Linked DNA regions of Callithrix jacchus. The protein of the gene in region 1 interacts with the protein of each later gene in a pairwise test. Links are inferred from orthologs where the notes say so. Each region holds a gene or a part of one and is shown on either strand. Other genes may lie near its edges.

Evidence for each region.
Region 2: the proteins of UBQLN1 (region 1) and KLHL42 interact in binary tests that used the Homo sapiens proteins (3 or more experiments, as listed by UniProt). The two-hybrid records come from large-scale screens. The link is inferred for Callithrix jacchus from reciprocal best matches to the Homo sapiens genes UBQLN1 and KLHL42.
Region 3: the proteins of UBQLN1 (region 1) and AGPAT5 interact in binary tests that used the Homo sapiens proteins (3 or more experiments, as listed by UniProt). The two-hybrid records come from large-scale screens. The link is inferred for Callithrix jacchus from reciprocal best matches to the Homo sapiens genes UBQLN1 and AGPAT5.

The regions. Positions count from the first base shown.
Region 1 is NC_133502.1:99,308,512-99,312,263, forward strand, and holds the start of UBQLN1 (ubiquilin-1), read left to right. Parts: upstream 1-966; 5' UTR 967-1,028; coding exon of another isoform or gene 1,029-1,080; coding exon 1,081-1,260; intron 1,261-3,752. Other genes in the region: uncharacterized protein LOC103792470, read right to left, coding at 628-966, 1,029-1,082. UniProt on the Homo sapiens protein: Plays an important role in the regulation of different protein degradation mechanisms and pathways including ubiquitin-proteasome system (UPS), autophagy and endoplasmic reticulum-associated protein degradation (ERAD) pathway.
Region 2 is NC_133510.1:43,423,012-43,426,663, reverse strand, and holds part of KLHL42 (kelch-like protein 42), read left to right. Parts: intron 1-1,429; coding exon 1,430-1,881; 3' UTR 1,882-3,652. UniProt on the Homo sapiens protein: Substrate-specific adapter of a BCR (BTB-CUL3-RBX1) E3 ubiquitin-protein ligase complex required for mitotic progression and cytokinesis. The BCR(KLHL42) E3 ubiquitin ligase complex mediates the ubiquitination and subsequent degradation of KATNA1.
Region 3 is NC_133514.1:9,548,105-9,551,756, forward strand, and holds part of AGPAT5 (1-acyl-sn-glycerol-3-phosphate acyltransferase epsilon), read left to right. Parts: intron 1-3,081; coding exon 3,082-3,202; intron 3,203-3,318; coding exon 3,319-3,378; intron 3,379-3,652. UniProt on the Homo sapiens protein: Converts 1-acyl-sn-glycerol-3-phosphate (lysophosphatidic acid or LPA) into 1,2-diacyl-sn-glycerol-3-phosphate (phosphatidic acid or PA) by incorporating an acyl moiety at the sn-2 position of the glycerol backbone.

The sequences.
Region 1 (3,752 bases):
GGAACTCGAGTTCACAGAGAATCTGGGAGGGCTCGCGCACAGCTGTCATCACAGCAGCAGAGGTCGCTGTCATGACAGCAGCAGGCCACTGTCAATACAGGTCGCCTGATCGATCGTCTGACCAAACCAGGCTGACCTGAGGGCAGTATATAAGCTCTGGCCATGAAGCATTGACTCCGCGGGATTGCGCAGGGCAGTCACGGGCGTCTACGCCATTTTCCGTTCGTTGAGCTGAGGGCCTTTACCCCAACTCCCCCGCACAGAGCAATACGAGCCCTCCAAATATCAAACTCTAAATGTATTAAAATAACAAAATACCTCGCCGCTATTTTATCACCAGACCCTCCTCCCAGCGGGGAACGCAGAGTACGCAGAAAGGCAAGGCAGGCCAAGGCGACAGTGAAGGCGCGGAAGGATGAGCACGGGCCAGCCGGGCATGAGGTAAGGTAGGAAGACTACCTATACCGCGAGCGCGCAAGCGCATCAGCGACCGCAGAGCCCAGTGGTCTCTTTCTAGTAATTTCGCTAACCGTGACGTCATCTCTGCGCGCCGTTACAGTGCTTAACTACAAACTGTGATTTAGTTTTTGGTGAAGGGAGTGGAAAAAAAAAAATGAACTGACCTACCCCGCCCCATTTTGGTTTCAGTCCTTCACGCTGGCTTCGCCTACACTTTGGGCAATGGAGCGGGAAAGGAAAACGCACGTAGGCTGAGCTCAAAGCGGTGCCAGACGGGGATGACTCGGCGACGCCGCCAGACGCGTTACCCGGCGTGCTCCGCGCGGGGCCGGTGGAGGGACGTGGGGGAAGGGGCAGGGAGGAGGAAGCGGTGGCTGCTGCGGATGTGGATGTGAGCGAGCGACGCCTGAACACACCGCGGCTGCCTAGCGCCTGACCCGGGCCTGCGCCAGAGCCTGCACTGAGCTCTGAGGCCCCACACCCGTTAGGGTGGCCCTGCGCCCGTTGCTACTGAGGCGAGGTGCTCTGCATTCTTCGCTGCCCAGGCCTGCCGGCTCCTCCTCGCTCACCCGCTCCCTCCTGCTCGCCTGAGTCACCGCCGCCGCCACCACCGCCGCCGCCATGGCCGAGAGTGGTGAAAGCGGCGGCCCTCCTGGCTCCCAGGATAGCGCCGCCGGAGCCGAAGGTGCCGGCGCCTCCGCGGCCGCTGCCTCTGCGGAGCCCAAAATTATGAAAGTCACCGTGAAGACTCCGAAGGAGAAGGAGGAATTTGCTGTGCCCGAGAATAGCTCCGTCCAGCAGGTGAGGCCGTCTGGGGCTCGGGCCGGGGTGGGGGTGGCGGCAGGACCTCGGCCTGCAGCCTCTGGAGACCTTTTGGAAGGGTATGGGGAGACCCTCCGAGGTGCCCTCGGCCATTCTCCCGGGCGTCGTCCCAAATAAGATCACACCCCAAGTTCGTGGGTTTGCGCCTTGGGACACCGCAGTGGTTTGTGGCGTTGCCGCGCGGCCTGTTTGTGGGACCGGCCGACGCTGCTTTTCTCGGAGCCTTCCTCCTCTAGCATCCGTCGCCCCTCAGCTTCCTCCCCCAGTTCTCCCTCAGTCGCCTCCCCTCCAACTCTTCACAAAGGAAAGGGACCCACCGCCTGGTTCCGGGCGGGGTGGAGGCTGGGCGGGGGCGAGGGTTCCCTTAGCTCAAGCTGCGATTTTGTTTAATGAATTATTTAAAAAGGGTGGATAGGATCCTCATTGTTTTACCTGCCTGTTTGTTAAGGTAGGTTTTGGGGTGAGGTGCACGTATACATTTAGTTCTGCATTTTAACTCCTGAAATCTTTCCCACCTTGAAAGCTTTCTTAAAAAAAAAAAAAAATTATGACGTAGAAATCGTTTTTAGCTCCTTGTTAATAGTAATAGTACTAGGTTTAAGGAGAAATATGAATGAATGATGATGACTTGCTCTTTCCCTTTTAGTATGTTTGTCGTTTCTTAGATGCCAATCATTCGGTAGGTATTTGTTTGATTTTAGAGGGGCGAGAGCAATGTTGATATTAGCGGTTGCAACCAAATAAAAGAAAATTGGAGTTAATGGAGAATGGTACTTAAGCTTTGTTCAGGAATACAAATCTTGCTGTTAATTAAGAATCTTGGTGGAATTTAACAAATAATTTTAGTGTATTGTTGAATATGTCGTATTTTCCATAATTATTGACTTAATCGCTGAAGATCTCAATGTGAACAGTTTGTGACAGGAAATAAACAGTTCCGAAAACGTACCTATAAGTTTCCTCAGGAATAGTAAGTGATTGGGGTGTTGGTTTAGCGAATTCCAAAGGTAGTGTGTTTTGTGAGGCAGTGAGGTGTGTAACATCAAATAACAGAAACTTTTACCACCATCTGAATTATCACCTTTTTTTTTTTTTTTGTCTCCCAATGCTTGTGAAAATTTTCCTTACCATTTTTGTATTTTCAAACATACAGAAAAGTTGAAAGAATTTGGCAGTGGACACACATGGCCATCATCTACAGTTAGCATTTTACTGTATTGTAATTAGTTATAAGTCCATTTTATTTTGGGGAAGCAATTCAGAGTAAGTTGCATGTATCAGTAGATGACAACAGTACATGTCACTTCAGCGATGTGAACTTACTTGCTCATATTCAACTTCATTTTTTACGTTTGTGACCTAATTTTGATATGCAATGAAATGCATATGGTTGTAATTCCATGAGTTTTCACAAATGCTTACACCTGTGTAACCCAAGCCCCATCAAGATATAGAACATTGTAATTGACTAGAAAGTTTTTTCTTGCCTTTTCCCAGTCGTTTTAGTAGCTTTACCTTCCATCAACCACCTCGCCTTTTTTTTTTTTTTTTTTTTGGTGCTGTAAATTAGAGGAGTCTATAGTACTGTGTGTATTTTTCTGGGTAAGGTGTTTTTTTTTTTTTTCCCCACTCTGCATAATGTGTCTGAGTTTCGTGTTCGTATATCAGTAGTTCCTTTTTATTGCTATGTAGTTTTCCACTGTATGTATATACCATAATTAATCTATTCACTGTTGAGGGTCACATGAGGTGTTTCCAGTTAGTTACTACGGACAGTCTTATACAAGTTTTTTGTGGACTTACTCTTTTATCTTTCATGGTTATATACTTAGATTTGGTTTGAGTAGGTCATAGGGCAATTGTGTGTTTTAATTTTCTGAGAAAGTATGTTTTTAAAAACGCTTGTGGGCCTGGCTCGGTGGCTCATGCCTGTAATCCCAGCACTTTGGGAGGCCGAGGTGGGTGGATTGCCTGTGGTCAGGAGTTTGAGACTAGCCTTGGCCAACATGGTGAAATTCTGCCTCTACTAAAAATACAAAAATTAGCTGGTTGTGGTGATGGGTGCATGTAATCGCAGCTACTCTGAAGGCTGAGGCAGGAGAATCATCGCTTGAACCTAGGAGGTGGAAATTGCAGTGAGCCAAGATCAGGCCCAGCGTGGGCAACAGAGTGAAACTCCATCTCAAAAAAAAACAACAACCCAGCACTTTGGGAGGCCGAGGCGGGTGGATCACGAGAGATCGAGACCATCCTGGTCAACATGGTGAAACCCCGTCTCTACTAAAAATACAAAAAATTAGCTGGGCACGGTGGCGCATGCCTGTAATCCCAGTTACCCAGGAAGCTGAGGCAAGAGAATTGCCTGAACCCAGGAGGCGGAGCTTGCGGTGAGCCGAGATCGCGCCATAGCACTCCAGCCTGGGTAACAAGAGCGAAACTCCGTCTCAAAAAAAAAAAAAAAAAAAAAAAAA
Region 2 (3,652 bases), on another chromosome or scaffold:
TTCAGAAGGAAGAACTGAAAGAGGTATGAAACTTCTGAGAAAATGAGCTGTCTTCTCTTACCAGCATCTGCAGCCATCAAAATGTTGTAGGCTTTAGTTGTCTGCCAGTGCCCAAGCTGAGCTGTCTCCTTCATGGTTAGGATTTATTGTTTAGAAAAAACAGCAACATTCTGTTTATAACTCAGAGCATTTGTGTTTTCTGCTGAAGCTAAAATACTCATTTATTCTTTCCTAGAGGAGAAAAGAAAAAGAGAACAATTAAAAACAAGAAAAGCAAAATTAGATATTCTAAATTTCTTAAGCATTTTTCACAAAGAGACTAGGCAATTTTTTTCCTTAAAGAAAATCACCTTTTTTTTTTTTTTTTTTTTGAGACACCAGGATCCCTGTCACCCTGGCTGGAATGCAGTGATGTGATCACAGCTCACTGCAGCCTCACCCGCCCAGGCTAAATAAAGCCATCCTCCCACCTCAGCCTTCTAAGTAGCAGCTGGGAACATAGGTGCATACCACCATGCCTGGCTAGTTTTTTATTTTTTTTGTAGGCGGGGGGGGGGCGGTCTCACCATGTTGCTCAGGCTGGTCTTGAACTCTTGAACTCCTGGGCTCAAGCAGTCCTCTTGCTTCAGCCCCCTAAAATGGTGAAGTCCTGAGACACCATGCCTGGCCAAAAATCATTATTAATTAAAAATGCCAGAGAAGCCTTTTATCTAGACTTTGATGTTTTCTACACTGCAACTATCTCTTGGGAAATGGGAAAAGGGAGAGGGAGGACCTTTGTTATTGTCTCTCTGGTGATATAATTGGGAAACTAAGGCTGGGCATGGTAAAGACCCAGTCTTTACAAATAAAAACAAATTGGAAAACCGAATTGCCAAGTGATTCTGTGGCTTGGTAGAAGGCTGCAGGTGAGACTGCTGCGTTCCTCCTGACTTGTAACGTTGTGTCCTTTTCACTAGACAGCCTCTGGAGAGCCTATGTTGCTACTTGTCATGTTTCTTAGGATCAGCTGTCAAGGACAGATGTAGTTGCTGATCAGCCTGGCTTCTGTATTAAGTAGTCGGTAATTTTGTAGCTATTGATGAGAGTTCTGAGGCACTTAGTTTTTTTGCCCTGACCTGGTGGTTCAAAGGTGTGGGGGCGGGTACCAGGGAGGAGGGGCTGTGTGAAAGTCAGAGCTGCTCTTTTCCCTGGTTTTATCCAGTCTGAGTCTCCCAAGGAGATATTTGGGAGGAGGAGGCGAGTGTGGCTGGATCTAAATATATCTCTTCCCAGCCATTTTGAAAACTGTTTTACCAACTTGTGCTTTTTCCGAAACAGTTTTTTCTCTTTGTTACCAAATTATGCAGGTAGAGGTAGACATTTCTGGGCAGCCTCGCCTAATGGTGTTAGTGGGGGCGGTGTCATCACTTATCTTTCTTTCTTTCAGACCGGAACATGAACATTTTGCAGTACTGCCCCTCTTCTGACATCTGGACCCTCTTTGAAACTTGTGACGTCCACATTCGCAAGCAGCAGATGGTGTCTGTGGAGGAGACCATCTATATCGTGGGGGGGTGTCTCCACGAGCTGGGGCCCAACCGCAGGAGCAGCCAGAGTGAGGACATGCTCACCGTGCAGTCCTACAACACCGTCACCCGGCAGTGGCTCTACCTCAAGGAGAACACGTCCAAATCGGGTCTTAACTTGACTTGTGCACTCCATAACGATGGCATCTACATCATGAGCAGAGACGTCACCCTGTCGACCAGCTTGGAACACCGAGTGTTCCTCAAGTACAACATCTTTTCAGATAGTTGGGAAGCATTTCGGCGTTTTCCAGCTTTTGGACATAACTTGCTGGTGTCTTCTCTTTATCTGCCCAATAAAGCAGAAACATGACTGAATTGAATTCGTAGATGAAAGAAACTGGTTCAAGATTTTTTTTAAAAACGTAGTGTCCCATTGCAAGGGAGACTGATTCCTAAAGGGTAAAGAAGGGTTAAAATAGGTCACATATATACAGTAGCAGCTGTAAATAAGCTTACTTGAACTAATTACTTGAAAACTTGTGGAAAAAAGAGACCAACTTTGTTATTTTTAAAATTATTGATTTTTAAATTATGGGAGCAAATCTATCTCCAGACATGATACTCTTGGGCCAATGACGGATCATCAAAATATAGATTCATTGTGACTGCATGGTAAAGGGCCAAAGTCAATAATTGGAACAAATGGTAAAGATGATTTTTAAAATCTGTTGTATTTAGGTCCCTTTACATATCATTAGCACCTTATGTGAGAGATTTTCTTTTTCTTGCCAGTATACTTGACAAGCATTCGTATTAACATATTCATTCCCTCTTCTCCGTCAAGCATACCCACACATACATCTAGTATGTTTAAAATAGGGTTCTGTGTTCAGATATTTTGTTTGCACTCTACTTCTTAGGAAACTTACAATGATGGAGCCCTACAATGAATCCTTGCTAGTGTTCAGTCCTCCTCAAAACTTGCATAAAAACATTCTCAGCCATTTTTCCAGCCTTCTTTGCAGGTACAAATGCTGGATTAATAGATTGATACAACCTCTTATTTTATTTATGTGGCAGATTACATATTTATGTGGCCACATAGGTTGCATTGCTAGGTGTTCTGTATTTTAAAGAGGATATATTATTTAGAAAAATGAATATATGAATATTTTAAAAAATTGAGTCTTAAATTTAAATGGGAAGGGAAGAAAACACCAAATAAGACATAAATTTGCCTTTGAGAGTTACTTTTATTGAATGTATTTGACTTAGTTCTTATTTCAAGACTTAAAAAAAGTTTACCATATTTAAGTCAGGCAACTAATTTAATCTTAGCTTTGTAATTAATGTTTTGCTTTTGTGGACTAAGGTAAGGACAGCATTTAAACATAGGTGCTGGAGTAAGGAAGAAGCCCTTACAGAAGTGGAATGGCTTCTGGTAGTATTTTTGAAGTTAGGTAAAGTGCTTTACTTGCCTTGGTTGTGAATTGAAATAGAATGCAGCTCAAGCAGTTGTTTTCACTGAGGGAGTTAACAATAAAAGTTTCTGCCAATCAGATCAGCATTCTTCAAAAATATATATACTCATACTTACAGAACTTTTATTTTGAGTGAAAAACGCTCTAAAATTATCTGATATTTTGTAATCCAATCAGTTCAACTGTGAGCTGGATTCCATCATTCTGCAATAACAGCAGGCAGAACCATTTCAGTTAGTGTGTGCCTCACTTTAAGAAAATCCTGTTGGGGGAAAATCACTGTCAGCAAATTCATGCATTCCGCAAACACTTATTGAGTGCCTGCAATATGCCGTCCACTATGCAGATGTAGGACGGGGCTAATTACTTAGAGTTTTTCAGTTTATTCTAGGAGTCACTACAGGGTTTCTTTACAACCATGGCCTCTAGTATACTTAAAATAAGGGTCCACTTATAAAAAGCCTCTTTGCACAACTTTTTGGGAATACTTCTATTAAGTTAAATGAGGTAAGCCATTATTTTGGACATAGAAACAGATCTTTGTATCTTGTCACCAAATAATCTTATCTCTAGTCTACTTATAACTTTGTAAGGGTTTCTAAGCTGTGCCCATTTATTCCCAAATATTAAGCCCTTAAAAAAGTAACCTCTGAAAAAAAT
Region 3 (3,652 bases), on another chromosome or scaffold:
AGGTAAACTGTGGTTTACCTGCCAAGTACAGATCATTGATTCAAGTACTTGTGTTACTTTCCTGGGCTGCCAAAACAGATCACTTCAAACTAAGTGGCTGAAAATAATAGAAACGTATTGTCTCGTGACTCTGGAGGCCAACGGTTTGAAATCAAGGTGTAGGCTCAATTGTACTCCCTCTGGAGGCCCTAGCGGGGAATCCATTCCTTGTGTCTTTCAGCTTCTCATGACTGGCAGCATTCCTTGGCTTGGGCCAGAGTCATTTCAACCTGGCCTCACAATCCTGGCCCTGGCCTCTTCTGTCTCACATTTCACCCTCCCTTTCTCTTAGAAGGATGCTTGTCATTGGGTTTAGAGTCCACCTGGATAATCCAGGATGATCTCTTCATCTCAAGATTCTTAATTTCATTATAACTACAAAGATCCTTTTTCCAAATAAGAAAACATTCACAGGCTACAGGGCTTAGGATGTGGACACATTTTTTAAAGGGGCTGCCATTCAACTCACCACAATAATGAACTCCATAGTTCCACCTATTCAGTATTTTGTAGTTACTTCTCAATTTAACTTGCCTTATTGCTTTAGGTATTTACATATGAAATCACTTTGGTCTGTGCTTTCTTTAACAGCGAACCTGCTTTTTTCTGTAATAAGTTTTCTGACTTTCCCATAATCTTAGTTTCTTATTTGCAGATTTACCTTCACATATCCTTTAACAGAGCATTTGATTAACTTCTATTTTCAGAACCGGTCTGTATTCCATGTAATAATCAACTTATTCATATTTTGGTATTCTTTTAATTCTTAACTGATTCTGAAATTATGTCTTATGATTTTATATATATAATATATATGTATATGATATATATTTAGGTATACATATGTGTATATGATATATGTATATGATATATATATAGAAATAACAAATATTTATAAATTAAAGGTAATATAACTTCTAAGCTAAGACTATTATGTGTAACATGGTGAATATACTGGTATTTGGTTTGTTTACCACTGAAAAGCCCTATCTGTAGGATAGGAAGTGACTTGAATATGGAATGCTTTGATACTCAGAATAAGAGGCTATGTGTGTATCCTTGAGCTGGAGTTTAAGGAAAACTTACGGGAAATTAAAAGGAAAGTTGGAGGACTGGCAAAGGAGTGGGTAGGACTCATGAAAAAGGAATGAAATTAGCTTAAATTCTGTCATCATGAGTTGAAGTGAAACTAGATTTATGTTAGTTTATAGCCTAGAATTCTATCCTCGGGATCTAGATATATCCTAAATGTTGAGATAGCTGCATAAACAATAACTGTAATATTTATGATAAATAATGAAAAATCTTTTTAGCATGTTTCATGAAGCTGTTAGAAGTTAAAAGAATGTCTTCAAATGTTAGAATTCTTTTTTCTTTGCTGCTTTTTTTTTAAAAAATTCTTTTCCCCCTTTTTATGAAATACGCTGAAGACTGATCATTGAAATTTGTAGGCTAAAAAATTATCAACACAGAGTAGTTTGGGGTTTGGGTTTTTTGAGTCATGGTCTTCTTCTGTCACCCAGACTGTAGGGCAGTGACACCATCATGGCTCATTGCAGGCTTGAAAGCCTGTGTTCAAGTGATCCTCCCGAGCTGTTGGCATGCCATTATTTCTAGCTAAATTTTAAAAGTTTTTGTAGAGATGGGGTCTTGCTATGTTGCCCTGGCTGGTCTTGAATTCCTGGACTCAGGTGATCCTTCTGCCTTGACCTGTAAGTGCTGGACTTACGGATGTGAGCCACCATGCCCTGCCTCTAATTAATATTATAATTACCAATTTATCTTGTTTAAATTAGTTGGTAACACTTGGAGTTTACTTCAAAATATATTTTACATTAAATGACTCTGACTGCTAATCTCCCCTTCCCAAAATGCTAGTGTAATATAACAATAAAATGCACAGTCTTAAGATAAACAGGTTTTCAGTTGACCTGCTTTATAAAATAGTTTGAAAAACACAAGAAAGAAGATAAAGAATTTAAGATTTTGACATTTCTATAATACGCTCTTAACTTGTCTAAGGATTCATACTTTTTTTTGAAGCAGAGTCTCACATCGTTGCCCAAACTGGAGTGTAGTGGTGCAATTCCCACTCACTGTAACCTCTGTGTCTGGGCTCAAGTGGTCCTCCCACTTCAGCCTGACTTCACCTCCCTATAGGTGCCCAGCACCATGCTGAGCTAATTCTTGTTTTTTGTTTTTTTTTTTTCTTTTTGGTAGAGATAAGATTTTTCCATGTTGCCCAGGCTGGTTTCAAGCTCCTGGGCTCAAGTGATCTGTCCTTGATTCACCATACCTTGATGTTCAGCCGATTCATACTCTTAACTGAAACATTGTTCCACGTTCCTCAGAAACAGTCAAGGCTTTTCATCTAGAGACCATTTATAACTGGATCTTTCTCTTTGTAGCACTGCTTATCAAACTAGTCCTAACTTCCTGATGAGTTAAATTTGTATTCTGAATCTGGCTGTAAAAGGAGCCCTTCATCAGAATGAAACATGCTTATTTAGAAGTGGAGAGGGGACCTTGCAAGTGATCTAGTCTACTACTCCCCTTTATGACACGTCTGTATTCTTTCTGCATTTCTGCTGTAGCGTTGCCCAGCGTCTTCTCTAATATCTGTAGTCCTAATGAGAATACGAATTGTAGCTTGCATCCTTAATTTTACTCTTCTCTGCTTACTCATCATTCAGTGAAGACCTTAAATAGATCTTAAATTACTTCCTTCACTTTAGCCGAGAGTAATAGGACTGTGTAGGTTTGGGTGTGCCTCTGTATTTGCTTGTTTAAGCAGAATAATAAAAACTTTTACTATAGGAAATTAAACATTTCCCAGTCAAATACAGTTCCAGTCTAACACAATTAAATTCTGGTTAGAGAGTGGGTTAACTCACTAGGCGTATAGGAACATCCTAGAGAAATGCAATTAGAACTCTTACTTTTACACTTTATAAAGATGAACCTCTGTGAACAAACCAGTTATTTCAGGTTGCATTTGTGTATAGGTTTTTAATGCCTTATTTTTCTATTTTAAAATCACAGATACAATATATACATGCAATTATATACAGATGCAATTATAAATATACATACAAAATAAAGCCACAATATTTTGAGAAAGTTAAAGTTTCCTTTACTCCTGCACTGCATACACCTTTCCCAGGTATGTACCAGTTTGATGTGTAAGTTTAGATTTCTTCCAAGAGCATTTAAGTAAGTGTTTGAGTTGTGGTAAGATTCTTTAGTTAAATGAACTTCTTAGATGAGTTTTTTTTTTAGTGCAGAAGCATGAAATACACCCGTGTAACTGGGGATACCTCTGTGCCATTACGATGGAAGGTAAGGAAAAACAGCACTCCACATATACCTAGTTTACTTTCCCTTTTTGGTAAATTTGTGTAATTTTGTGGAGCTGACACTTCTTAAGTGGAATCAGAAGTTAATTTTTCCTTGACTCTTTTCTCATTTTGTTATGGTTTCTTTCCCTAGAGGTTGGTATTAGTAGTTGGACAACTCAGTACTAAGTAGTGACTTTTCAGTAAGGGATCTCTAGAACCTAGTGTTACTCCCTTAATCCCTGCGATGTTCCCACGTGCACATTGTTCCAGGTGCT